4 linked regions of the Anolis sagrei genome follow. The protein of the gene in region 3 purifies or fractionates together with the protein of the main gene of each other region. This does not show direct contact. Links are inferred from orthologs where the notes say so. Each region holds a gene or a part of one and is shown on either strand. Other genes may lie near its edges.

Region 1 (7,475 bases), about 60 Mb from region 3:
TGCATTTTATGCATTTTTTGAATTCCAATGCTTTAAATAAAAATTGTTTGACTGTTTTTAAATAACCGAGTAATACTTTTCTTTACAGTCTCTATATGGTTTTTAATCTTTATCGTTTTAAATATGTTAGCCACTTTCAGTTTTATTATTGGGAGTAAGGTAGAATATAAATTAATAGTGAGGGAGGAGTACTGCAGGACTAATCCAGGAAAGCTCTGCATCCAGTATCTTCATTTCTGGGGCACATGATCAAAATGGATACATAAATGCTGTATTGGCTGGAAATAAGCTGTCATTTTACTTCCTGTTGAAACTAATGGAGGAAAAAGGCAAGAAGAGAGTGAAAATTGCTCTATATATATACACACACACACACACACACACACACAGCTCATTCTGCACTGACATACATCTGGCAGGGGCTGGAAAGTTGTGGCTCCTCTGCCACAGACTGACCCCTGAGCTCTGACCTTTATGGGATTGCTATTACATTATATTTCCACTAATTACATAAGAACTCACTGAGGGAAAGGAAGCCTCAAAAGTTGCAACTGAAAAATACATTATACTGAGCAACTCTGCAGCATCAAAAATTTGAAAGCATACATCTTCTGTACCAAGAGGAAAAATAATTCCAAGCCAATTAATAAATGCCTAATATGACTTTTAATCACTACATTCCACCGTTCTTAAAAATTCAAGATTCACTTAAGTTTGAATTAACCATTCCAAAGGTATTGTTATACTACAATTGTCATATTCTATTAATATGAGCTACTGGGGGAGTGGGAGTCTAAGCTATAGGAATCCCAATACTGGAAAAGTATAGTGCTGTAGAGCTCACTTAAATATGACTTTGTCCAAACAATAATGACAAAAAATGAGTATTTCTAGAGGACTGCTTGACCACATGCAGCTTTGTAGAAAGTGCTCTTTGTTCCTTAACTTTTTTATATTATCCATGTGCTTTTTCAGTTTCTGGGAAGGGAGGAGGTGAGAATTCCAAGTGAAAATAGTCCTATGTAACTCATGAGGTGCTCCTGAATCTACATCATAAGTGAAACTACATCATAAGGGAAAATACACAATTAACCATCTTTATTTTCTTAATTCCTTCTGATCACATACTTTATTTTTATTTTCAATAAATTAATGAGAAACAAGATTGTAGTATTCCCTTTATAAAAACAGAGTTCCAACTATAGGCATTTCTTACTCTGAGAAATGCTAGAAAGTATGGACAGCAAAAATAATATAACTGGTCCAGATGATGTTTATTATAACCCCATCCACTTTGCTTATATGCAAGCAAAAGACAATTCAATCACTGTTAAGGGCTCAATATTAAAACACAATACAAGCCTGTAAAGTGCTTAGAAGAGACAAACAATGCACTATCATGTCAATCTTTAACACTACACTTCTCAAAGAACTTCAATATAATTTAAACATAAGATATCCTCCATTTTAAAGAAATACACACATATATAAAGCTCTTTAACTAAATAGCATGACTCTTCCATCGATGATTGACCACAGCCTTTCACATGACCCTAAAGTAGCAGTTCACAGAATAGGGAACACCTATCTGCAAACTTCAGTAGGTCTGCCTGCAGTTCCTAACCTTGTGCCATGCCTGTGAAAAAAAGAGGATAAAAATAGCACAGACTGGAAGCACTGCCCCTTGCTACAAATACCCTGCAGTAGATTATGATGCTGCCACCTGACACGGTGTAAGTATATATATCTGCGTGTGATGAACACCAATTTCACTACAGATTTTCATGCTCAAACTAACACACACACTGAACAATCTTTCCAAGGGTACTCAAGTGTCCAACTTAGTTAAGGAAAAGATAGAAAATATGTGCATCGACCTCTTATTACTGCTAAGCCTGACCTTGACAAATGTCCTCACTGGTACAGACACGCTTTGGTCTAGTTTTGCGGGGATCTATTCTGTATTTTAAAATACTAACAATCCATCTCTGAAGCAAAAGGGTTTGATTTTCTGCTGGCTATACTGCTAGAACAAAGCCAAGGAAACCCCGACATTGGGTACAATCCGAGGCCAACGAAAGAAAAGAAGCCAACGCTGGACCGCCCAAGGGAAGGGACAAAAGCTTGCCGCTCTCACACAACGAGGCGGCAATGAACCCGCTTTGCGGCCCTGCCTCCTTTGCCAAGGTTTCCTTCCCTCGCCACTATTGTCCTCCGGATTGCAGCGGTTTCTGTTAAGGTGAATGGTTGGAAGGGGGAGGCGAGGCGTCTGTTACACCTCCCCCGATTTCCGCCCCTTTTTAGGAAGCCTTTGGCGGGGCGGTTTCCCCCAAAGGCGCGAGAGGAGCCCACAAGCCAGGCCCTTCCAGGTTTTCAGTCACGATTCGGGCCCTCCGCTATTCAGAGGTCCTCGAGGAGGGGGGGGAAGCACTCGATCTGGGCCAGATTGGGATCCTCAGTCACTCCCGCCACCCCCTTTCCAGAATCCTGAATGGAACTCTCCTCTTGGGCCTCACGAATTCCTGTTAATAGACCTCAGCTCGCTTAGTAACGGCGCGGCTTCAGATACGCAACGCGGCCCGCTCCTTTTTTGGCCGCTCTGCCACCCCTTATCCCGGGCAGAACCTCTTCCCTCGCTGCCGAGGGGGGAAGGGGGAGCATCGCCTCCTCAACGCCAGAGCCAAAGGCCCACTCAATGTGCTCGTCAACCCCCCTCTCCCCCAATGTGTAATGGTTTCGCCCGGCGCCCCCCAGTCAGGAAAGGCCGCGCGGAGCCCGCGTGTCTATGGCGACGGTGACGACAAAGGCGCGCCGCTCGCCGGCTCGTGAAGGACGTGACCCAACGGCTTTCCCCCTCTCGCACCAACCTGCGGGCGAGGCGGAGATGGGCGGCGAGAAGGAGGAGGTTTCACTCCGTGCGAGGCAGACAAGCGGGCGAGCCGAAGGAGACGGGAAGCACCTCACGCAACAGCGTGCTCTACCGCCGGCTAAATATACCTCGCGCGTAACCTAACCCTGTGGCACGCTCGCAACCAGTCAGAAGCCGGCCCTCTCCCCAGCTCGGAAGCTGATAGGCCAGCTGGAGGAAGAAGGGGCAGGCCGCGTTCGGAAAGGCAACTGGATCGACGAATCTGGCTGCGGATAACGTGAAGCCGGTTTCTCTGACAGACAGGTGTTCTAGCCAATAGGTGTGGAGCGCAGACCTATTAAGGCAGAGTCAGGAGTCGACGGATCTGGCAAACACCAATGAGACGACGCTCCCCGCGTTATTAGGAGTGAGAACCCGCGGGGGCGTGGCCACGCTGCCCGCCAAGGATAGGTGCGCTGCACAGTGGGAACCCTAGGAATCGAGGACTGGAAACCCCGTGCGAGGAGAGGCGGGCTGAAGACGAGCGCCGGTCGCCGGGCCCAATTGCCAAAGGTGTTATCCCGTGATTGACAGGAGACGGAGTGGCGTTTCTTAAAGGGAAAGGCGTTGAAAATATTCTGCCGCTTCCGAGCAGCGGGAGAGGCTGCGTGCGCGTCCTCGCCTTGCTCTGGGTAGTCTCTTCAATCACCGAATGAGTGCCTGGAACTCATTATAATCCACATTAATACTATGTCCCATGCTGTGCCATACCATACACTCTGTATTGATTTGGTATTGCATCAAATACAGAAATTTAAAGCAAACTAAGACAGTTTTAACACCTATTGTGCAAACAGCTTTGTGACTCCAGCACGCAATTTTAGTTAAATGGCAGTCAAAAAACTTCTCAACTTAATGAACTTTACTAACAAGCGTCGAATTGCAACAGGCATGCCAAGTTTACACGTTTCTGCTAATCTGATTTTATTTTAATTTTTATTCAAAGAATTATTCCTTCGATTTCTCTTTTGCTGTTTACTCGTGAGTACCACCGTTTGCCTGCGTTCTGGTTAACTGAGAGTGCACTGTATTTGAGAACAAACGAGCCAAGGAGTCCCCTGGATTTGAGTGAACCTTGTATACACTGGACCTTGAGGGGTTTTCTTGTGGCAGCATGCACATATGTTCATGTATGTGCATTCAAGGCACTGGTCGCCTCCCATCACCAAAGATGACCCTGCTTAGCTACCAAGATCTAATGGGATCCAGTGCCTTAGGGTATTTAGGTAACATATGCACATGCCCACCAACATGTCATAGACCAGGGGTCCTCAAACTAAGGCCCGGGGGCTGGATGCGGCCCTTTGTGGTCATTTACCCGGCCCTCACTCAGGGTCAACCTAAGTCTGAAATGACTTGAAAGCACACAACAACAACAACAACAACCCTATTTCATCAGCCAAAAGCAGGCCCACACTTCCCATTGAAATACTAATAAGCTTATATTTATTAAAACTGTTCTTCATTTTATTTATTTATTTATTTATTTATTTCTTGCATTTATTGACCGCCCCTCTCAGCCCGGGGGCGACTCGGGGCGGTGAACAACAACAAAGAAGACAGTGTACAGTGAGTCAAGACGATACAAACCAGACAAATACAACATAACATATACTTATACTAAAAATCCGCTTCGTCAAGTCCTGGGGTCATAGCCGAAATTCGTAGTCCTAATTCATTCCAGTGTCAATTTAACTACACTCAATTGAAGGCCTGCTCGAAGAGCCATGTTTTTAGGCCCCTACGGAAGGCCATCAAGGAGGGCGCCTGTCTAACTTCAGCAGGGAGAGTGTTCCACAGTCGGGGGGCCACCACCAAGAAGGCCCGCTCCCTCGTCCCCGCCAGACGTGCCTGTGAGGCGGGCGGGACCGAGAGAAGGGCCTCCCCGGATGATCTCAAGGCCCTCGTGGGCTCGTAGGCCGAGATGCGGTCTGCAAGGTATTTTGGGCCGGAACCGTTTAGGGCTTTGTAGGATAACACCAGCACCTTAAATTGGGCCCGGTAGCAGATCGGCAGCCAGTGGAGTTGGGACAGCAGAGGCGTTGTATGCTCTCTGCGTCCAGCTCCCGTTAACAACATGGCTGCCGCGCGCTGGACTAGCTGAAGCTTCCGGGCCGTCTTCAAGGGCAGCCCCACGTAGAGAGCGTTGCAGTAGTCGAGGCGGGATGTGACCAAAGCGTGTACCACCGTGGCCAAGTCAGACTTCCCAAGATACGGGCGCAGCTGGCGCACGAGCCTAAGCTGTGCAAATGCTCCCCTGGTCACCGCTGAAACCTGGGGCTCCAGGCTCAGCGATGAGTCCAGGGTCACACCCAAGCTGCGAACCTGCGCCTTCAAGGGGAGTGCGACCCCGTCCAGCACAGGCTGTAACCCTATACCCTGTTCGGCCTTGCGACTGACCAGGAGTACCTCTGTCTTGTCTGGATTTAATTTCAGTTTGTTCGCCCTCATCCAGACCATTACAGCGGCCAGGCACCGGTTCAGGACTTCGACGGCCTCCTTAGTAGCAGGTGGGAAGGAGTGACAGAGTTGGACGTCATCTGCGTACAGGTGACACCGCACCCCGAAACTCCGGATGATCTCACCCAGCGGCTTCATGTAGATGTTAAACAGCAAGGGGGACAAGATGGATCCCTGAGGAACGCCACAGGTCAACGGCTGCGGCGTTGAACAGGAGTCCCCCAATAACACCTTCTGAGTACGACCCTCCAGGAATGACCGGAGCCACTGCAGAGCAGTGCCCCCAAGACCCATCCCTGCAAGGCGCCCCAGAAGAATACCGTGGTCGACGGTATCGAAGGCCGCTGAGAGGTCCAGGAGCACCAACAGGGACACACTCCCCCTGTCTAGCTCCCGGCGCAGATCATCCACTAAGGCGACCAAGACCGTCTCGGTACCATGTCCCGGTCTGAAACCAGACTGTGCCGGATCCAGATAATCCGTGTCTCCCAAGAATACCTGGAGTTGTGAGGCCACCACGCTTTCCATGACTTTGCCCAAAAAGGGGAGATTGGAAACAGGCCGAAAGTTGTCCAATTTAGTGGGGTCAAGTGATGGTTTCTTCAACAGCGGCTTTATAACAGCCTGTTTTAGGCTCGCTGGAATCTTGCCCTCCCGAAGGGAGGCATTAACCACCACCGTTACCCACTCGGCCAATCCCCCTCTGGCCTCCTTAAGAAGCCAGGATGGGCAGGGGTCTAGGATGGACGTGGTGGGTCTCATTCCTCCAAGTATCTTGTCCACATTTTAATTATTGTATTGTTTTAAAGTGTTTTTTGCACTCCAGATAAGATATGTGTAATGTGCATAGGAATTCATTCATGTTTTTTTCAAATTATAATCCGGCCCTCCAACAGTTTGAGGGATTGTGACCTGGCCCTCTGTTTAAAAAGTTTGTGGACCCGTCATAGACCAAGCAATATCAGCACGTGACCAAAATGGCAAATAACAGGAATAATAACTTAATAATAAGCTATGAAAATGAGGGCCAGTTGGAAGAGTACTCTAGTGGAGGAACACTACAGCCACCCGGGCCTGTAAGAGCCACCCCTCCCCATTAATTTTTGCTACAGCCCTGCTCTTCCAGTTCGTAATATGGTAACAATGGTCAGATAGCAAATGAGTGCGTGCTGGAAGAAGCAAAGACCACCAGCATTGAAGCGATGGTCCTCCACCATCAACTCCGCTGGACCGGCCACATTGTTTGGATGCCAGACCACCATTTCCCAAAGCAATTGCTCTACTCCGAACTCAAGAACGGAAAACAGAATGTTGGTGGACAGAAAAAGAGATTTAAAGAGATTCAAAGCCAACCTTAAAAACTCTGGCATAGTCACTGAGAACTGGGAAGCCCTGGCCCTTGAGCACTCCAGCTAGAGGTCAGCTGTGACCAGCAGTGCTGTAGAATTTGAAGAGGCATGAATGGAGGGCAAAAGAGAGAAACATGCCATGAGGAAGGCACATCAAGCCAACCCTGACCGGGACCTCATTCCACCTGGAAACTTATGCCCTCACTGCGGGAGAAGATGCAGATCAAGAATAGGGCTCCACAGTCACCTATGGACCCACCAATACACTGATTTTGGAAGACTGTCCTACTCTGACAACGAGGGATCACATAACAGCAATGGATAGCCTAGAGTAAAAATCAGCCAGCGCTGAGAACCTCTCATAGCATTTCACTTGGCTGCTACTGGCCCAGCAATAAGGAACACCCCCGTGTTTTGTTTTGTTTTTTGTCGTGTCAGGAGCGACTTGAGAAATTGTAAGTTGCTTCTGGTGTGAGATAATTGGCCGTCTGCAAGGATGTTGCCCAGGGGACGCCCGGATGTTTTGATGTTTTATCATCCTTATGGGAGGCTTCTCTGATGTCCCCGCATGACGAGCTGGAGCTGATAGAGGGAGCTCATCCGCACTCTCCCCAGATTTGAACCTGCGACCTGTCGGCCTTCAGTCCTACCGGCACAAGGGTTTAATCCACTGCGCCATCGAGGGCTCCCCCCCCCCAATTGTTGGCCACACACTGGGATGCCTGCCAATCTTAAGGTCAATAACAAAGTGAATTCAT
Region 2 (7,124 bases), on a different chromosome or scaffold from region 3:
CTTGAATCATTTCCACAAAATATGTAACCCAGGGCCTTTCCACATATCTATAGGGAGAAAATCCCACAGAATTCCCGGAAGAGCCCCCATAATCTGAGCCCACACTGCCATATAATCCAATTCAAAGCAGATCATGTGGGCTGTGGAAGGGGCCCCATAAATAAACAAAAGTCCTGGGAAGGCTTTCCCATCCCATCCCATCCCATCCATCCTCCTTTCCCACCCAATCTATGCATAGCAATGACCCCTTTTTTTTCCTTGAAAGCAAATTCTTAAAACTTACTGGAGTCCTAAATATTAAAACAACAGGGCTGGCTTTCATTTCTGTATCCTTCCTTTCTCTTGTGTGTGTGTGTGTGTGTTTTCCAGGCCACGTTTTTTGTTTGCCCTGGAACCAGGCTCCACTCACTCTCTCTCCTACACACACCCTGACCCCCTCCCCCTACAAACCCACCATTGTGTGCTCTTTACAAATGTTGAAAATTATGAATGGTTCCTTGAACCAAGAGAGGAGGGGGAAACAGAGAGAGAGGAGGGAGGAGGAATGGGGGTGGGTGGGTGGATTCTGTATGGTAATCCTAGGGCTGCCTTGCCTGCTGACCATGCCCAGTGCTGCTCCCCTTCCCCTTTAAGGAAACAGCACAAAAACCCACCATTAACTAAATTTAAAAAGACAGGAGGAGGGGGAAGGGTTAGGGTCTGGAATGGGGAGAGGGAGGGGGGAGAGAGGCCGCTCTGTCCGGAGGAGCACGCTTTCCTCTGCCCTCCCACTTTCTTTCTTTCTTTCTTTCCTTCTAATCCCCCTCCAACCGGCCTCCACCCCTTTTGTCCTTCGATTCATAACGTCGTGGAGGCATCACATTCACCAAGGCTCACCAACGCGCCAGAAATATCACTATGCAGGAAAAGGAGGGGAGGAAAAGGAGGGGTGGCAAGGGGGAGTGGGAGGGAACGGTTTCAAGGAGACCCTTCCCTTCTTCTTCTTTTTTCCCCCGGCCTCAACAAGACCCCGGCTTGCTTTTTTTTTATTTTTGTCTCCTCCTTTTCTTTCCTTAAGCAAGGAGCCAATGGCCAGCAAGAAAGCCAAGCCAGCCACCCAACATTGAAATAAAGAGCAGACCAAACGCACATGGATGGGATGCTTTGGAAATCATCATAATAATCTATATAAATAAAAATGTAATGTTCGTTTGTGGGGTTAACATAACTCAAAAACCACTGGACGAATTGACACCAAATTGGGCCACAAGATATCTACTAATCCAAGGAGTGATCATCACTAAAAAAAATTATTTTTTTTCATTTGGGAGTTGTAGTTACTTTGATTTATAGTACACCTTCAATCAAAGAGCATTCTGAACTCCACCAATGATGGAATTGAACCAGATGTGGTACACAGGACTCCCATGACCAACAGAAAACTCTAGAAGGGTTTGGTGGGCATTGACCTTGAGTTTGGGAGTTGTAGTTCTCTTACATCCAGAGAGCACTCTGGACCAAACTTGGCACGAATATTCCATATGCCCAAATATGAACACAGATGGAGTTTGTGGGAAATAGACCTTGACATTTGGGAGTTGTAGTTACTGGGATTCACCTACAATCAAAGAGCATGCTGAACTCCACCAACGACAAAATTGGAGCAAACTTCCCACACAGAACCTTCATACTTAAGGCCATCCAGTCCAACTCCCTTCAACAAGGCAATGTAATCAAAGCCCTCCTGACAAAGAGCCATCCAGTCATAGATATAGATAGATATGATTCACACAGAGATATAGTATCATAGATTTGAAAGGCACTCCTAAAGAAGGACAATTATATGTTGCATGTTCCAGGGTGAGCAAACCAGACAATCTCCACATCAACACTGACAAAGAAACAGCAAGAAATGCTGTTTACACACAAGCATAAATAAATTACATATATTAGAAACCAACACTTTCTAATTACTTTGTTTTCCAGATCACCAGACTGGAACCCGTGGCAGGGGACCGCTAGTAATCTATATAAATAAAAATATAATGTTCGTTTGTGGGATTAACATAACTCAAAAACCACTGGACGAGTTGACACCAAATTTGGACACAAGACACCTATCAGGCCAACAAGTGACCATCACTCATAAAAACACTGAAAAACACAGCAGAAGAGACTTTAAAAGCCAAAAATTTTAAAAATACATTATAACCCATGCGGAAAACCACATATATAAAAATACACACACACACATATATATATACACACACAAAACACATATACAAAGACTGGGCCACAGCAAGGCATGGCAGGGATGGCTAGTATATCCTGAAAACTGGAATGCCTCAAAGAATAATATACCCCCCACTCTCTATCCAAAACAGGTTGGGTTGCTGTAAGTTTTTAGGGCTGTATGACCATGTTCCAATTCTGGAACATGGCCATACAGGCTAAAAAACTTACAATAATCCAGTGATTCTGGCCATGAAAGCCTTTGACAATACACAAAACAGGTCGCCTTTTAGACCTCCTGTAGAATTCTGGGGTTTGTAGTATAGGAAGGCTGTTAAAGCCCCCCGCCCTCAAACTACAAACCTTAGACCTCTACAGGAGACCACAGCTGGATTTAAAGTGGAATTGTTCTCTAGTGCAGTGGTTCTCAACCTGTGGGTCCCCAGGTGTTTTGGCCTACAACTCCCAGAAATCCCAGCCAGTTTACCAGCTGTTAGGATTTCTGGGTCTAGTGTGATGAGGTCCTAAGAGTTGTTTTTTTTACGGGTTGCTGTGATTTTTCCAGGCTGTATATAGCCATGTTTCCAGAAGCATTCTCTCCTGACATTTCACCCATATCTATGGCAGGCATCCTAAAAGGTTGTGAGGTTTGTTTGAAACTAGGCAAGCGAGGTTTGTATATCTCTGGAAAATCCAGGGTGGTATAAAGAACTTTTGTCTGGGTTGCTGTGAGTTTTCTGGGCTGTATGGCTATGTTCCCAGAAGCATTCTCTCCTGATATTTCACCCAAATCTATGGCAAGTATGCTCAGAGGGGGAGTCCACAACATACGAGCAAACCACAGATCACTTACTACAATGCAGCCTGAGCTCTGCCAAATGCAGAATGGAGGACCTTCTTGTAACCAGAATTCTGCAGGAGGGAGCAATTTAAGGTGGATTCATTCTTTACTGTGATGAGGTCCTTATAAGTACTTCATCACACTAGAGAATGAATCCACTTTAAATGGGGTTTCTGCCTCCTGCAGATTTCTGGGGTTTGTAGTTTAGGGAGGCTATTAAAGGTGCTTCCCTAAACTACAAACTCCAGAATTCTGCAGGAGGCAGCGGCCCCATTTAAAGCGGGATTCATTCTCTAGTGTGAGGAGGTCACACTAGAGAATAAATCCACTTTAAATCGGGTTTCTGCCTCCTGCAGATTTCTGGGGATTGTAATTTAGGGAGGCTATTAAAGGCTCCTTCCTAAACTACAAACCCCAGAATTCAGCAGGAGGCAGATTTAAGGTGGATTCATTCTCTAGTGTGATAGGGTTCCAAATCTCATTTGGTCGCCTTGGGGGTTTGCGATTTGGTGTGCTCTTCCCGGGCTTCTCTTTCCAAATTCCTCCCCGTGAGGGGACCAGATAACGAAGTGATTCTCCTCGAAGCCCATCGATTCTCCTCGAAGACCCCACGCCCCGATCCGCGCGAGGAAGGCTGGAAAACGTGGAGAGCCGCGGCGCCGCTTTTTACGCACGGGAGAGAAAGAGGCGCGCCAAAACGCCTGCGCGTCAAAGTGGAGATATATATAGATCTGTCTCTCTCTGTGTGTGTATGTATTAAGCAACCCAACCCGGAAAGTAGTAAACAGGGGGAGGGGAGAGAGAGAGAGAAAAAAAAGGAAAGAAAAAGAAACTTCTCCAGGACAGCTGAAAAAAAAAAAAGGCACAACGCAGCCTCTCCTTTTCCTCTTCCTTTCCTCTCTCCTCCTTTGTGAGTCGCGCTCTCTTAATTGAGGCGTTGGGATTCCTCGCGTGAGAAGTTGATTTGTAGTTTGAACACGTGGCCTCATTCAAAAAAAAAAAAAAAAAAGAGCCGGAATATTCAAGCGATTTCTCTCTCTCTCTCTTTTCCCCCTCCCTCCCTCCCTCTCTCTCTACTCTTTGGAGAGAGGCGGTGCCTTGCGATGCGCGCATTGTAACATTTCCATACTCCGCCTGCTTTGGCCACCAAAGAGAGAGAGACACACACACTCACATACAAAAGGAGAAGGAAACAAGGCAAAGAAAAAGTACTTTCCCTTCTTTATTTATTTATCTACTCCTTTCCTTCCCTAATTCCCATTATTTCCCCTCATTCCCAGTATCTCTTTGGATATGTTGCCTTTTTGCAAAGTGGGTGTGTAAGTAAGAGAGAGAGAGAGAGAGGAAGGGAGGAAAGGAAGGAGGGAAAGAGGGAGGGGTGGGGACGGATATAAGCCGCAGTTGTGATCCTTTCCTCCTTTTTTTGTTGGGTTTTTTGGGGGGAAAGCCCTCCCTCTTTGGCTTTTTATTTTATTTTATTGCATCCTTTGGAAGGATATTGTTTTGTTGTCTCTTCTGCTGCTGTTTTCCCAAGTAGTGGTGCTTCTCTTCCTCTTGTGTGTTTTGTTATTTTTTTCCACCCCTAAATTATTAAGCCAGGATCTAATTTTTTTTGTGTATTGATCCTTCACCCAAGAAGATGAACAAGCTGTACATCGGGAACCTGGGCGAGAACGTGAGCCCGCAAGACCTGGAAAGTCTCTTCAAAGAGTCCAAGATCCCTTTCACCGGCCAGTTCCTCGTCAAGACGGGCTACGCGTTTGTGGACTGCCCCGACGAGAACTGGGCCATGAAGGCCATCGAGGCACTTTCAGGTGGGTCCAACACCCCCTCTCAATACCCTCCTCCCCCTCCAAATGCCTCCCTCTTTTCCCCATTTCCCTGCTTTCCCCGTGCGCCATCCTCTCTCTCTCTCTCTTCCTTCTCCATCGCCGCGTGGTCGCCTTCTCTCTTCTCTCCATTCCCATTTTGGAGACGCGCGCTACCTCTCTCTCTCTCCAAAAAGGGACCCCTTTCCCCAGTTTTCTCCCAGTCTCTAAAAGACCTTATTTAGGATGGGGAGGGTCCGAAGCGGACCTGAAAGGGCCCCCTCTTCTCCTCCTCTTTGCCCCCCCAACAAGGAAAGGCGCAAAAAGAGAACCCCCCCTTTTTTGTTTTGTTTTGGTGGTGCCACAAGAAGGCCCAAAGCCAGGGCGCATTACGCACACATCTCTCCCCCAAGACTCCCCTTCTGCATCTCTCCAGGCTTCAGGAATAAGAGGATAGGGAACGAGGTGGGGGGTGGGGGTTAAGGAAGCCCCACTCTGTCGGAGAAGGGAGAGATGGCGAGACAGAAACGCGTGGAAAGGGCCCAAAGCTGTTGGGTGGGAAGGGACACACACACACTCTCTCTGGCTTCTTCTCCATGCGCGCTCTCGCCTTTCTCTCCGCCCCGGACAAAGGTGGCTTGGGGCGCCCAGGAAGGGCAGGTGGTTAGGAAAGCAAGCAAAGAAAGGAATATATATACAAATTCTCTCTCTCTCTCTCTCTCCCTCTCCCTCTCCCTCTCCCCCTCTCTCTCTCTCTCTCTCTCTCTCTCTCTCACTCACACACACACACAGAGTGGAGTCTCCTCTCCCCCCCCCCCCCGGTGCTGCAAAGCCCACCAACACGGTGGAGTTTTATTAAAATAGATTTGTGTTGGTGTGAGTTTTGCAAGCTGTATGGCCATGCTCCAGAAGCATTCTCTCCTGACATTTCGCCTGCATCTATGGCAGGCATCCTCATAGGTTGTGAGGTCTGTTGGAAACTTCCACACAGTCCTATAACCCAGAATATTAAAGCAGAGAATCCCTCGGTATCTGCTTTGAACTGGATTATCTGATGCCCCTTCCACACAACCCTTTACCCCAGAATATCAAGGCAGAAAATCTCACAATATCTGTTTTGAACTGGGTTATCTGAGTCCACACTCAGATGATGTGGGATTCTCTCCCTTGATATTCAGGGATAAAGGGCTTTATGGAAGGGCCCTGGGTTGCTGTGAGTTTTCCGGGCTGTATGGCTATGTTCCAGAAGCATTCTCTCTTGATGTTTCGCCCGCATCTATGACAGGCATCCTCAGAGGTTGTGAGGTCTGTTGGAAACTTCCACACAGCCCTATATCCCAGAATATCAAAACCCCTCGATATCTGCTTTGAACTGGGTTATCTGTGTCCACAGTGCCATATATTCATTTGCTTTGTATGCTCAAAGCAGATAATGTTGGATGTTCTGTCTTGATATTCTGGGAGATAGGGCCCTAGGTTGGTGTGAGATTTGCAAGCTGTACGGCCATGCTCCTGAAGCATTCTCTCCTGAAGGTTTGTCTGCATCTATGGCAGGCATCCTCAGAGGTTGTGAGGTCTGTTGGAAACAAGGCAAGTGAGGTTTGCATATCACAGTGCCATATATTCCGGTTCAAAGCAGATAATGTCAGATTTTCTGTCTTGATATTCTGAGAGATAAGGCCCTAGATTGCTGTGAGTTTTCTGAGCTGTATGGCCATGCGCCAGAAGCATTCTCTTCTGACATTTCACCTGCATCTATGGCAGACATCCTCAGAGGTTGTGAGGTTTCTTGGAAGCTAGGAAAAATGAGGTTTAAATAATGGAATTATGTCCAGGGTGGGAGAAAGAACTCTTGTCTGTTTGAGGCAAGTGTGAATGTTGTAGTTGGCCACCTTCCACTTCATCACACTAGAGAATGAATCCACTTTAAAATCCTGTTTCTGCTTCCTGCAGAATTTTGGGGTTTATAGTTTGGTGAGGGTGTTTAAAGCTCATCCCTAAACAACAAACCCCAGAATTCTGCAAGAGGCAGAAACCGGGTATAAAGTGGATTCATTCTCTAGTGTGATGAGGCCCCCTGATTAGCATTGAATGGCCTTGCAGTTTTAAGGTCTGGCAGATTGCTGCCTGGGGGGATCCTTTGTTGGGAGGTGATTAGCTGACCCTAATTGATTTTTGACTGGACTTCCCCTGCTTTTTGAGTGTTGCTCTTTAGAGTGTTTTTAAAACTGGTGGCCAGATTTTGTTCATTTTCATGTTTTTGT
Region 3 (6,955 bases):
TGAAAGAAGAAAGGTAGGAAAGAAAGAATACAGAGAGAGAAGGAGGATGGGAAAGAAGGGAGAAAGGAAGGAAGGAGGAAATGAAAGAAAGATAGAAAAAAAGAAGAAAGGGAAGGGGAAGGGAAGGTGTCAAAAGGAAGGAAGGAAGGAAGGGAGGGAGGGAGGGAGGGAGGGAGGGAAGTTGAGAAGGTATATGAAAGAAGAAAGGTAGGAAAGAAAGAATACAGAGAGAGAAGGAGGATGGGAAAGAAGGGAGAAAGGAAGGAAGGAGGAAATGAAAGAAAGATAGAAAAAAAGAAGAAAGGGAAGGGGAAGGGAAGGTGTCAAAAGGAAGGAAGGAAGGAAGGGAGGGAGGGAGGGAGGGAGGGAGGGAGGGAGGGAAGTTGAGAAGGTATATGAAAGAAGAAAGGTAGGAAAGAAAGAATACAGAGAGAGAAGGAGGATGGGAAAGAAGGGAGAAAGGAAGGAAGGAGGAAATGAAAGAAAGATAGAAAAAAAGAAGAAAGGGAAGGGGAAGGGAAGGTGTCAAAAGGAAGGAAGGAAGGAAGGGAGGGAGGGAGGGAGGGAGGGAAGTTGAGAAGGTATATGAAAGAAGAAAGGTAGGAAAGAAAGAATACAGAGAGAGAAGGAGGATGGGAAAGAAGGGAGAAAGGAAGGAAGGAGGAAATGAAAGAAAGATAGAAAAAAAGAAGAAAGGGAAGGGGAAGGGAAGGTGTCAAAAGGAAGGAAGGAAGGAAGGGAGGGAGGGAGGGAGGGAGGGAAGTTGAGAAGGTATATGAAAGAAGAAAGGTAGGAAAGAAAGAATACAGAGAGAGAAGGAGGATGGGAAAGAAGGGAGAAAGGAAGGAAGGAGGAAATGAAAGAAAGATAGAAAAAAAGAAGAAAGGGAAGGGGAAGGGAAGGTGTCAAAAGGAAGGAAGGAAGGAAGGAAGGGAGGGAGGGAGGGAGGGAGGGAGGGAGGGAAGTTGAGAAGGTATATGAAAGAAGAAAGGTAGGAAAGAAAGAATACAGAGAGAGAAGGAGGATGGGAAAGAAGGGAGAAAGGAAGGAAGGAGGAAATGAAAGAAAGATAGAAAAAAAGAAGAAAGGGAAGGGGAAGGGAAGGTGTCAAAAGGAAGGAAGGAAGGAAGGGAGGGAGGGAGGGAGGGAGGGAGGGAGGGAGGGAAGTTGAGAAGGTATATGAAAGAAGAAAGGTAGGAAAGAAAGAATACAGAGAGAGAAGGAGGATGGGAAAGAAGGGAGAAAGGAAGGAAGGAGGAAATGAAAGAAAGATAGAAAAAAGAAGAAAGGGAAGGGGAAGGGAAGGTGTCAAAAGGAAGGAAGGAAGGAAGGAAGGGAGGGAGGGAGGGAGGGAGGGAGGGAAGTTGAGAAGGTATATGAAAGAAGAAAGGTAGGAAAGAAAGAATACAGAGAGAGAAGGAGGATGGGAAAGAAGGGAGAAAGGAAGGAAGGAGGAAATGAAAGAAAGATAGAAAAAAAGAAGAAAGGGAAGGGGAAGGGAAGGTGTCAAAAGGAAGGAAGGAAGGAAGGAAGGGAGGGAGGGAGGGAGGGAGGGAGGGAGGGAAGTTGAGAAGGTATATGAAAGAAGAAAGGTAGGAAAGAAAGAATACAGAGAGAGAAGGAGGATGGGAAAGAAGGGAGAAAGGAAGGAAGGAGGAAATGAAAGAAAGATAGAAAAAAAGAAGAAAGGGAAGGGGAAGGGAAGGTGTCAAAAGGAAGGAAGGAAGGAAGGGAGGGAGGGAGGGAGGGAGGGAGGGAGGGAAGTTGAGAAGGTATATGAAAGAAGAAAGGTAGGAAAGAAAGAATACAGAGAGAGAAGGAGGATGGGAAAGAAGGGAGAAAGGAAGGAAGGAGGAAATGAAAGAAAGATAGAAAAAAAGAAGAAAGGGAAGGGGAAGGGAAGGTGTCAAAAGGAAGGAAGGAAGGAAGGGAGGGAGGGAGGGAGGGAGGGAAGTTGAGAAGGTATATGAAAGAAGAAAGGTAGGAAAGAAAGAATACAGAGAGAGAAGGAGGATGGGAAAGAAGGGAGAAAGGAAGGAAGGAGGAAATGAAAGAAAGATAGAAAAAAAGAAGAAAGGGAAGGGGAAGGGAAGGTGTCAAAAGGAAGGAAGGAAGGAAGGAAGGGAGGGAGGGAGGGAGGGAGGGAAGTTGAGAAGGTATATGAAAGAAGAAAGGTAGGAAAGAAAGAATACAGAGAGAGAAGGAGGATGGGAAAGAAGGGAGAAAGGAAGGAAGGAGGAAATGAAAGAAAGATAGAAAAAAAGAAGAAAGGGAAGGGGAAGGGAAGGTGTCAAAAGGAAGGAAGGAAGGAAGGGAGGGAGGGAGGGAGGGAGGGAGGGAAGTTGAGAAGGTATATGAAAGAAGAAAGGTAGGAAAGAAAGAATACAGAGAGAGAAGGAGGATGGGAAAGAAGGGAGAAAGGAAGGAAGGAGGAAATGAAAGAAAGATAGAAAAAAAGAAGAAAGGGAAGGGGAAGGGAAGGTGTCAAAAGGAAGGAAGGAAGGAAGGGAGGGAGGGAGGGAGGGAAGTTGAGAAGGTATATGAAAGAAGAAAGGTAGGAAAGAAAGAATACAGAGAGAGAAGGAGGATGGGAAAGAAGGGAGAAAGGAAGGAAGGAGGAAATGAAAGAAAGATAGAAAAAAAGAAGAAAGGGAAGGGGAAGGGAAGGTGTCAAAAGGAAGGAAGGAAGGAAGGGAGGGAGGGAGGGAGGGAGGGAAGTTGAGAAGGTATATGAAAGAAGAAAGGTAGGAAAGAAAGAATACAGAGAGAGAAGGAGGATGGGAAAGAAGGGAGAAAGGAAGGAAGGAGGAAATGAAAGAAAGATAGAAAAAAAGAAGAAAGGGAAGGGGAAGGGAAGGTGTCAAAAGGAAGGAAGGAAGGAAGGAAGGGAGGGAGGGAGGGAGGGAGGGAGGGAAGTTGAGAAGGTATATGAAAGAAGAAAGGTAGGAAAGAAAGAATACAGAGAGAGAAGGAGGATGGGAAAGAAGGGAGAAAGGAAGGAAGGAGGAAATGAAAGAAAGATAGAAAAAAAGAAGAAAGGGAAGGGGAAGGGAAGGTGTCAAAAGGAAGGAAGGAAGGAAGGGAGGGAGGGAGGGAGGGAGGGAGGGAAGTTGAGAAGGTATATGAAAGAAGAAAGGTAGGAAAGAAAGAATACAGAGAGAGAAGGAGGATGGGAAAGAAGGGAGAAAGGAAGGAAGGAGGAAATGAAAGAAAGATAGAAAAAAAGAAGAAAGGGAAGGGGAAGGGAAGGTGTCAAAAGGAAGGAAGGAAGGAAGGAAGGGGAATTTGGGAAGGGGAAGAGGGAAAAAAGCAAAGGAAGAAGAGAAAGGGAGGGAAGAAAAGAAAGAAAGAAAAGGAAGTCTGGAAGTCAAGAGCGAAGGAAGGAAGGAAAGAGATAGAGAGGGAAGAAAGAGGAAGAGGAAGGAAAATAAAAAGGGAGGAGGAAGGAAAGAGGAAGAGAAAGAAGGAGGAGAGAAGGAAAGAAAAAGGAAAGGGAGGAAAGACGGAGCAAAGGAAGAAGAGAAAGAAGGAGAGAAAGAGGGAGGGAAGGAAAGAAATAAAGAGAAGGAAGGATGGGAGCAAAAAGCTAAGGAAGGAAGTAAACAGGTAGAGAAGGAAGAAAGGAAAGAAGAAAAGGAAATGAAGGAAGGAGTGAAAGAAGGAGAGAAAGAGGGAGAGAAGGTTGGCCACAGCAACGCGTGGTGGGTAAAGCTAGTATTATATAGATATACAGCGATGTGATATATATATACACACACACAGGCTAGCCCGCCATAGCCTTGAGCTATTAAAGTGGTGTCGAAGTGCGTTAACTCCCCAGCCCTGAATGGAAAGGAGAGCGGGGGAAAGAGAAAGAGAAAGAGCGGGCGTTTCTCTTTCCGTGGGTCACTAAACGGAGAGAGAGGGGAGGGTGTTGCTCATGCTGTGTGTGTGTATTCTGGCTGGGCTTCTCTGCGTCACGTGACTTCCAATAAGTGGTTCCTCCTGAGTTTCGCTTCTCCGCTGGCAGTGCTTAAGAGCCTCCTCGGCTTGCTTTCGCTTCACTCTGCTTCCAGCCATGGCTGAGGTGGCCAGGGCGCCCTCTCTGCCGGTCCTCTTCGGCCTGGAAGAGGAGCTGACCTGCTCCATCTGCCTCTGCCTCTTCGAGAGCCCAGTGACCACCCCCTGCGGGCACAACTTCTGCCTGCCCTGCTTGGAAATGACCTGGGGCCCCGGGAAGGCCTCAGGCGAGGGCTTCAGCTGCCCCCAATGCAGGACCCACTTCCACAGCCGCCCTGAGTTGAGGAAGAACACAGTGCTGTGCCGAGTGGTGGAGCAGTTTGGGAAGGAGCCCCTCAAGGAAGACCCGGGCCCCAAAGCGGCGGAGAAGAAGCTCCCCCAGGAGAGTCCTGTGCCTTGCGACAGCTGCTTTGGGGCCCAAGCGGCCCAGACCTGCCTCAGCTGTATGGCCTCCTTCTGCCAGGAGCACCTCCGGCCTCACCTGGAGAGCCCGGCCTTCAAGGGCCACCACCTGGTGCCCCCCGTGAGGGACCTCCACAGCAGGAAGTGCCCCGACCACGGCAAGCTCCTCGAGTTCCACTGCCAGGACCACGGCAGGTGCATCTGCTGCTTCTGCTTGGTCACCCACAAGGCCTGCGACACCGTCCCCTTGGCCCAGGCCAAGGAGGAGAAGGAGGTGAGGCGGTGGCCTCATGCAGCAAAGCTTGGAGATGAAGAAGCTATCACAGGTATGGGCACACTTGGGCCGTCCAGGTGTTTTGGACTTCAACTCCCACAATTCCTAGCAGCCTAAGGCCCTTTCCTTTTCCCCCTCAGCCGTAAGTGGCTGAGGGGTAAAAGGAAAGGGCCTGAGGCTGCTAGGAATTGTGGGAGTTGAAGTCCAAAACACCTGGACGGCCCAAGTGTGCCCGTGCCTGGTCTACACTGTCATCAAATCCAGTTTCAGAATGCACATTGACTGCATTGAACTGGGTTCTATGGTAGTGTAGAATAAAATAATCCAGTTCAATGCAGTTAAACTGCATTCTGAAATTTTATTCTAGTTTAAATGCTGGGAGTTGAAGTCACAAACACCTGGAGCAGGCATGGGTGAACTTCAACCCTCCAGGTGTTTTGGACTTCCAACTCTTATAATTCCTAACAACTGATAAACTGGGTGGAATTTCTGAAGTCCAAAACACCCGTGGGCTGAAATTTGCCCATGCCTGATTTTGGAGGAGCAAAGTTTGGCCTACACTGTAGAATGAATGTAGTGTGTTCTGAAGTCCAAAAGGCTGAAATTTGCCCATGCCTGATTTTGGAGGGGCAAAGTTTGGCCTACACTGTAGAACGAATGTAGTGTAACTCTACTTGAACTTTGATGGCTCAATGCTGTCGAATCCTAGATTGTTGAGGCCCCAGCACTCTTGACAGAGAGGGCTAAAGGCCTTGGGAAGCTGCAATTCCCAGGTTTCCATAGCCTCGAGCCAGGGCAGTTCAAGGGGTGTCAATGTGTGTTAATTCGGTCTTTCCTAAACTCGTTCTTCAGGTCTTTTGAACATCAGTTCCTGGATTCCCTGATCATTGGTCAGAGCTGTTGAGGCTTCTGGGAGTCCAAAACACCTGGAGGACTAGAGTTTGGGAATCAGCGATGCACCCCAGATTTTGTGAAAGGCCCCACTTAGACATGTTGCAAGAACTGCAGGCCCAGATTGCACAATTGTATTAGATTTTTATGGGGTGAACAAGTATTTTTTTCTTCAATTTTCATTTGCTGTATTGTTATCTTGTCTTTCTCCTGATACAGCCACTCAAGGTGGCTAGGGTTGCTTATCTTGTCTTTTGCCCCACAGAGCAGTATGTCTTGGGACTGGTCCTTGGTATCCTTGTGTGTAGTTGTTGTGTGCCTTTATATCATTTGCAGCATATAACCACCCTATTGCAGATTTTTGTTGGCAGGATTTGTTCAGAAAAGCTTTGCCATTGGCTTTCTCAGAGATTGAGAGAATATGATTGATCCAAGTTCTCCCATGGTTTGCAATATGGTTAAGTAGTTTCCAGAGGCCTAGGGCGCATCTTCACTGTGGAATTATTGCAGTTTGACACCACTTCCAGGGCTCAGTGCTGTTGAATCTTTGGATTTGTAGTTTGGTGAGCCATCCTGTGGCAGAGAAAGCTAAAGATCTTGCAAAACAACATTCTACTACATTGGCTTTCATTCCTTAGTATCCTACAGCCTAGCAATCAAATCATTGTGCTGTCGAAGGTTTTCATAGCTGAATTCACGGCGTTGCTGTCAATTTCCCAGGCTGTATGGCCATGTTCCGGAAGCATTCTCTCCTGATGTTTTGCCCACACCTATGGCAGGCATCCTTTGAGGTTGTAATGTTTTGTTCTGAGGATGCCTGCCATAGATGTGGGTGAAACATCAGGAGAAAATGCTTCTGGAACATGGCCATACAGCCCAGAAAACTTACAGCAACCCATTCAGATCATTGTTAGCTATTGGTGACAAATTACGTCCATGAAAAGAGCCAGCACAGTGTTTTGGTTTGGGTGTTGGACTAGGATTCTGGAAGACCAGAGTTCGAATCCTTGTTTGGCCATGTAAGCCCAGTTGGTGACCTTGGGCAGGCCACACAGACTTGGAGAAAAACAGTGGCAAGCGTTTTCTGAAGAAATATTGCCAAGAACACCCCATGTTGTGATTGTCTTAGAATTGCCAATCAACTTGAAAGCACATTTTGTTGTTTATTTTTTCAGTTGCTTCCAACTCTTTCTGTCTGCTGTCACCACCCCCAGCTCCTTCAAGGTCAAGCCAGTCCTTTCAAAGATACCATCCATCCATCTTGCCCTTGGTCGGCCCCTTTTCCTTTTTCCTTCCATTTTCCCCAGCATCATTGTCTTCTCTAAGCTTTCCTGTCTTCTCTTGATGTGGCCAAAGTACTTCATCTTGGCCTCTAATATCCTTCCCAGC
Region 4 (7,018 bases), on a different chromosome or scaffold from region 3:
ATGACTATCCTATCTCCTCTCAGCCTTCTCTTCTTCAGGCTAAACATGCCCAGCTCCTTAAGCCGCTCCTCATAGGGCTTGTTCTCCAGACCCTTGATCATTTTAGTCTCCCTCCTCTGGACACATTCCAGCTTGTCAATATCTCTCTTGAATTGTGGTGCCCAGAATTGGACACAATATTCCAGGTGTGGTCTAAACATGCCCAGCTCCTTAAGCTGCTCCTCATAGTCTCTTCTGTGTTTTTCAGTGTTTTTATGAGTGATGGTCACTCGTTGGTCTGATTCGTGTTCAAATTTGGTGTTAATTCATCCAGTGGTTTTTGTTATGATCACCCCACAAATGAACATTACATTTTTATTTATATAGACTAGCCATCCCTTGCCACGTGTTGCTGTGGCCCAGTCTGTGTATATGTATTTTGTACGGGTATATATGTGTGTATATATTTATATATATGTGTATATATGCCTGTTTGTTTATATATGTGGTTTTGCGAATGTGTTGTAATGCATTTTAATTTTTTTTTCTTTTTAAGTCTCTTTTGCTGTGTTTTTCAGTGTTTTTATGAGTGATGGTCACTCGTTGGCCTGAGAGGTGTATTGTGTCCAAATTTGGTGTCAATTCGCCCAGCATTTTTTGAGTTATGTTAATCCCACAAATGAACATTACATTTTTATTTATATAGATTATATCTCATTATTATATAATTATATATTGTATTGTACTATATTTTCGTACCACAACACATGCGCAGTATATTATACTATTATATATTGTATTATATAATAAGTCGAGGTATATATATAAAACTAGTTGTCCCCTGCCACGCGTTGCTGTGGCTCAGTCTGTGTATATGTGTTTTGTGTGTATATATATGGGTGTATATATTTGTGTATATGTGTGTTTTGTACATGTGTTGTAATTTATCTTTTTGTGTTTTGGCTTTTTAAGTCTCTTTTGCTGTGTTTTTCCATGTTTTTATGAGTAATGGTCACTCGTTGGCCTGATAAGGTGTATTGTGTCCAAATTTGGTGTCAATTCATCCAGTGGTTTTTGAGTATGTGAATCCTATAAACAAACATTACATTTTTATTTATATAGATGTATCTGTATATATATTTGTGTGTATGTGTATACATATGTGTTTGTGCATGCATTGTAATGTTTTTGTTGGTTTTTTTTTTTTGCTTTTTAAGTCTCTTCTGTGGTTTTTCAGTGTTTTTATGAGTGATGGTCACTTGTTGGCCTGATTAGTGTTCAAATTTGGTGTTAATTTGCCCAATGGTTTTTGAGTTATGTTAATCCCACAAAGGAACATTACATTTTTATTTATATAGATGTGTCTGTATATATATTTGTGTATATGTGTATACATGTGTGTTTGTGCATGCGTTGTAATGTTGTTGTTGTTTTATTATTATTATTATTATTATTATTATTATAACTTTATTTGTACCCCGCTAGCATCTCCCGAAGGATTTGGTGCGGCTTACAACAGGCCGAAGCCCACACAATACAACAATACAATACATAGCAAATAAGACAATTAAGCAGAAAAACAAATACAATAGCAATACAGCAAGACATTATTAAAAATTGAGCCGGCCGGAATAGGGGTACAGGATTAAAAGTGCTGATGTGTCGGAGGGATATGGGATTATAATATAAATGTGGTGTGCAGTGTGCGGTGGTCTTGATTCTGACTAAAGTGCTTCTGGGATTTGGAACTGGGGTTTCTAGCCAGAGAAGGCATATAGGGTTCCTAGTCTGAGAAGGCACATTTGAACAGCCAGGTTTTCAAATTCTTTCTGAAGACTGCCAGTGTAGGGGCTTGTCTGAGGTCTTTCGGGAGGGTGTTCCAGAGGCGGGGGGCCACCACGGAGAAGGCCCTGTCCCGTGTCCCCACCAGACGCGCTTGTGACACGGGCGGGATCACGAGCAGGGCCTCTCCAGATGACCGGAGTGAGCGTGTGGGTTCGTAGACAACGATGCGGTCACGCAGGTAGGGTGGTCCCAAACTGTTCAGGGCTTTGTAGGTAAGCACCTGCACCTTAAATTGGGCTCGGAAAACAAACGGCAGCCAGTGGAGCTCCTTAAACAGGAGGGTTGACCTCTCTCTGTAATGGGCCCCAGTTAACATTCTGGCTGCTGCCCGCTGGATCAATTGGAGTTTCCGAGCCGTTTTGGCTTTTTAAGTCTCTTCTGTGTTTTTCAGTGTTTTTATGAGTGATGGTCACTCGTTGGCCTGATTAGTGTTCAAATTTGGTGTTAATTCATCCAGTGGTTTCTGAGTTCTGTTAATCCCACAAACGAAATTACATTTTTATTTATATATAGATAGATTACATTAAAACATTAATATTATATGTAATAGTATTATTATATCACAAAAAGCCTTCGACAATACATTAATATTATATGTAATAGTATTATTATATCACAATAAGAAATAAAACTATTACTAGTACTATTATTACTATTATTGGTGAAAGAATGGTGAAAAGAAATAAACCTCGGCTTTTCTGCAAACTCCTCAGTACTGACCTGCCTTACATGGTAGTTGTAAGGCGAATACACTGATTCGAGGCCAACGTTTACTGCGTATTAGGAGGCGGGGTTGAAGGGGGCCCATCTACATTGCAATACAATGCAGTTTGGAACTGCATGATATGGTCAGCGTAGACCCACATAATGCAGCTCTGTGCAATTAACTGCTGTTGACAGCAGCAGCAGCATCCCCCCTCCTCCCTCCTCCGCCACGTCCTTTCTCTGAGGGGCGAGAAAAAAGCCCCGCCAGGAGGCAAAGCGCGGGCCCAGGAGGCTCCCCATCCGCCCGTGCCCCGTTACCCACCTAGGCGCTCTCCGCGGTCTCGGGATCCGGTTCGCTCCCGGCCGAAGGCACGGGGAGGAGCGACTGGGGCTGCGCGTCCCTCCCTCCTTCCTTCCTTCCCTCAGACGGAGTCCGGGCGGAACCGGAAGTGGCTCTCTCGCTCCCCGCCGGGAGAGCGCGAGGCCGAAAGCGCGCGCGCGCCTGCGAAAAGGTCCCCAATAGCCGCCAGGAGTGGGCGGGGCTAAAGCCGCCACATCTGGTGCGCGAGGAGCACGCTTTTGAAGTGATGGGCCAAACGGAAGTCCGGCTTTGGCGTCCTTCTTTTGTTTATCCTCTCTATGCTTACGCTTCCGGGAAAGGAAAGGCCATTGTAACGTCCTCCGTTAGGGCCGCCAGGTTTTTGGGACTTCAGCTCCCACAATTCCTGCCGCCTAGACAAGCTTCTGAGGCGCTTGGGAGTTGAAGTCCGCCCAAAAAAACCTCGAAGCCGGCCATTCTCTTCTCTCAAGAGTTCATTGGAAGAGAGCTTCGTGCACGCTCCACTTCCGGTTCCCTGTAGGTTCTTTCGTAAACATTGCTAGCAAGGTATTGTCGAAGGCTTTCATGGCCGGGATCACTGGGTTGTTGTAGGTTTTTCCGGGCTATATGGCCATGTTCTGGAGGCAATTTTTCTCCTGACGTTTCGCCTGCATCTATGGCAAGCATCCTCAGAGGTAGTGAGGTCTGTTGGAAGTAGGAAAAATGGGTTTATATATCTTTGGAATGACCAGGGTAATGTTTCAGCTGATCACCTTGATTTGCATTCAATGGCCTGGAAGCGCCTGGGGGGAATCTCTTGTTGAGAGTGAATTGCTAGCAAGCCATGCTAATATTGTACATATAATAATAATAATACTATTTATATCCCGCCCTAAACATAATATAATAATTTTTATTTATTTATTTATTTACCTTACTTATATACCGCTGTTCTCAGCCCGAAGGCGACTCACAGCGGTTCACAACAAATACGAACAGCAAAAATTCAGTGCTACAGTATAAAAACAGTTAACAACCTAACACATTACATACCATTCCTTGAACGTGAAAAAGCATTTGATTAGATTCCCCATGACTTGATCTGGTGAGCACTATGGTCACATGGAATACCAGAAGACTATCTAACATGGATGAAGCTACTGGGTGCCGTGCCAATCCAGAAGTATCTCCGGAAGAGCTCATCCAGCATTTATAAACAATAAACACTGACAAAAATCACAATATGTCAACTGCAAAAGGCCACCTTGCTTGGATCCGCACGCATCATTCGAAAATACACCATACAGTCCTAGACGCTTGGGAAGTGTTCGACTTGTGATTTTGTGATACGAAATACAGCATCTATATCTCATTTGCTGTGACATACTGTGTTTTTGTGTCAGTAAAATAATAATATTTATATCCCACTTTTATCTCCCCAAAGGGGACTCAAAGCAGCTTGACATAAAATCATTGGTATCCAATTTAAAATATATAAATATACAAACATTGAAACAGAATTAAACACAGACAGTATTTTTAAGCATTCAGTTAAAATCCATAGAATCATAGAAACCTAGAGTTGAAAGAGACCTCATGGGCCATCCAGTCCAACCCCCTGCCAAGAAGCAGGAATATTGCATTCAAAGCACCCCTGACAGATGGCCATCCAGCCTCTTTTTAAAAGCTTCCAAAGAAGGAGCCTCCACCACATGCCGGGGCAGAGAGTTCCACTGCTGAACGGCTCTCACAGTCAGGAAGTTCTTCCTCATGTTCAGATGGAATCTCCTTTCTTGTAGTTTGAAGCCATTGTTCCGCGTCCTAGTTTCCAGGGAAGCAGAAAACAAGCTTGCTCCCTCCTCCCTGTGGCTTCCTCTCACATATTTCTACATGGCTATCATATCTTCTCTCAGCCTTCTCTTCTTCAGGCTAAACATGCCCAGCTCCTTCAAACATATTAAAAGTTAAGAACAAGTATGGTCTGCTGCCCTGCAGAGATTTCACCACCTTTCACTATCACTGTTGGTGTGCATCAGGGATCAGCACTCTCACCATTACTAGACATGCTCTGCATGAACACTGCTACAGCAGATTTGCAGACTATGCATCCCTGGACACTAGGTTTGGTTGATTTAAAAAATGTTCAAAACTCGTTTAGGATGTAAAGAGTGCTGGTGGTTCAATTCTAAACACATTTCTGAATTTTTCTGGGGGGAGAAGTTGGAACTTTCCGAAACTTCTGAAACTTCTGAATCGATTTGTTAATGCAGATGTGCATACACAGTAGGGAAAAATAGCACTGGTGAAACTTCGGGGGATTCTCTATTCTCCCTCATTTTTAGACCAACCCTGATGAAACTTGCGACAGCGGTAGAACACATGGACCACTGTTAGCTCACCAAATTTCATAACCTTTGACTTATCCATGGATTTTTGGTGAATTTTCAAAGTTTTTATTTAAAAAATTAATAATAAAGAAAATCTGTTCCTGGTTTGAAAGTGTTATTTCCTGTTTAATTGTGTGTTTTTTACTTTGAAAGTAGTTGTTCTACTCCAGAAACTTTGTGTGGCACAAACTGTGTTAAATTGGGGGAGAACAGAAATCATAGTACAGACCTCATCAAGGAACATCTAGACTGACCCCCTTCTTCTGGGCAGAAAGGCACCATCCTGACATCCATTTTAGGACATCCATTTGCTTCCTCTACTGAGTTGGAGAGGACACTCAAGACACATCCATCTGTTTATTTCTATTAGCTTAACTACATTACATTAATCTACACTGACCATATAATCCAGTTTCAAATTATTATATGGTAGTGTAGATGGAGCTTGGAACCTGTTTTTACAACTCCCTTGAGAGAGAGAGAGAGAGCTGCCCATAGTTTAAAGAACATTCACGATACAAAGATTAGATCGGCAACTTCCCTTCTTTCATTTAGGAAAAAGTTGAAAACCTGGATATGGGACCAGGCATTTGGACATTCTGGCAGCCAAAGAAAGACTTGATGATGAGCTAGAATTTGACGGAATGGATTTACGGAACTCCAAACGCTGAGCTCAGGATTAGTTTACTATTGTGTTATTGTATTCTATTGTATTGATGGTTTTAATTTTAATTTGTAACTGTTTAATTGCTTTTATATATGTATGTATATGTGACAAAGGCATCGAATTGTGCCTTCCTCTAAGCCGCCCAGAGTCCCCCCTTGGGGGTGAGAAGGGCGGGGTAAAAGTAACGGAAATAATAATAATAATAATAATCATCATCATCATCATCATCATGGATGGGATGCAGTAGTAGATACCTTCTTCATCCCAAATGAAAAATGCAGACTCCTTGGTTTTTAAATCAAGATGCGTATTTATTATATGAATATATATTCAGAGTTGGGCATATTGGGTATGTGTGCCAAGTTTGGTCCAGATCCATCATCGTGTAGATTCAGAGTGCTCTCAGATTGTAGGTGAACTGCAACTTCCAGAATTCAAGGTTAGCCCCCACCTTCCCCAAACCGGCTTCAGAGTGGCCTCTGGATGTTGGTAAACTATAACTCACATAATCTAGGGCCCATCCCACCAAACCCCTCCAGTATGTTCTGGTGGTTATGGGGGTGGTGGGTCTGTGTGCCAAGTTTGGTCCAGATCCATTGTTGGTGGGAGTTCCAGTGCTCTCTGAAAGTTGGGGGTTTCTTGAAAAATACAAACAAACATATAATACTATATATTGATATATAGATTACATAATATATATGGTCCTTGCTTGACCACAAAGTGAAGGCAGAACCTTATTGAAAAGACAACTTCAGTCCTCACCTACATTTTGAGATTTAGGCCTATTTATTTATTTATTTATTTATCGTGTCATCAGCAACCATACCATTGTATTACAATTCTAACAGAGCAAAGCAAACACACAGATTAAAAAGAGAAGAAAAAAAAAAAACAAAAACACAGATTTTGCAAATTTGGTAGTTGGTTAAATGTCCTTTGACCAGTATCTGGCCACTTGGAGTGCCTCTGGTGTTACCGCAAGAAGGTCCTCCATTGTGCATGTGGCAGGGCTCAGGGTGCATTGCAGCAGGTGCTCAGTGGTTTGTTCTTCTTCGCACTCGCATGCCGTTGATTCCACCCTGTAGCCCCATTTCTGAAGGTTGGCTCTGCATCTCG

Evidence for each region.
Region 1: the proteins of TRIM25 (region 3) and G3BP1 purify together in Homo sapiens (affinity purification with mass spectrometry; 4 studies listed by BioGRID and IntAct, with this or other methods). This does not show direct contact. The link is inferred for Anolis sagrei from reciprocal best matches to the Homo sapiens genes TRIM25 and G3BP1.
Region 2: the proteins of TRIM25 (region 3) and IGF2BP3 purify together in Homo sapiens (affinity purification with western blotting; 3 studies listed by BioGRID, with this or other methods). This does not show direct contact. The link is inferred for Anolis sagrei from reciprocal best matches to the Homo sapiens genes TRIM25 and IGF2BP3.
Region 4: the proteins of TRIM25 (region 3) and G3BP2 purify together in Homo sapiens (affinity purification with mass spectrometry; 4 studies listed by BioGRID and IntAct, counting the BioPlex papers as one, with this or other methods). This does not show direct contact. The link is inferred for Anolis sagrei from reciprocal best matches to the Homo sapiens genes TRIM25 and G3BP2.

Annotation. Positions count from the first base shown.
Region 1 is NC_090022.1:84,248,919-84,256,393, forward strand, and holds the start of G3BP1 (ras GTPase-activating protein-binding protein 1), read right to left. Parts: upstream 3,011-7,475; 5' UTR 2,868-3,010; intron 1-2,867. UniProt on the Homo sapiens protein: Protein involved in various processes, such as stress granule formation and innate immunity. Plays an essential role in stress granule formation.
Region 2 is NC_090026.1:93,000,260-93,007,383, forward strand, and holds the start of IGF2BP3 (insulin-like growth factor 2 mRNA-binding protein 3), read left to right. Parts: upstream 1-4,114; 5' UTR 4,115-4,260; intron 4,261-4,688; exon of another isoform or gene 4,689-4,691; coding exon 4,692-4,866; intron 4,867-7,124. UniProt on the Homo sapiens protein: RNA-binding factor that may recruit target transcripts to cytoplasmic protein-RNA complexes (mRNPs). This transcript 'caging' into mRNPs allows mRNA transport and transient storage.
Region 3 is NC_090022.1:144,128,844-144,135,798, reverse strand, and holds the start of TRIM25 (E3 ubiquitin/ISG15 ligase TRIM25), read left to right. Parts: upstream 1-3,953; 5' UTR 3,954-4,057; coding exon 4,058-4,675; intron 4,676-6,955.
Region 4 is NC_090026.1:55,185,292-55,192,309, forward strand, and holds the start of G3BP2 (ras GTPase-activating protein-binding protein 2), read right to left. Parts: upstream 3,006-7,018; 5' UTR 2,852-3,005; intron 1-2,851.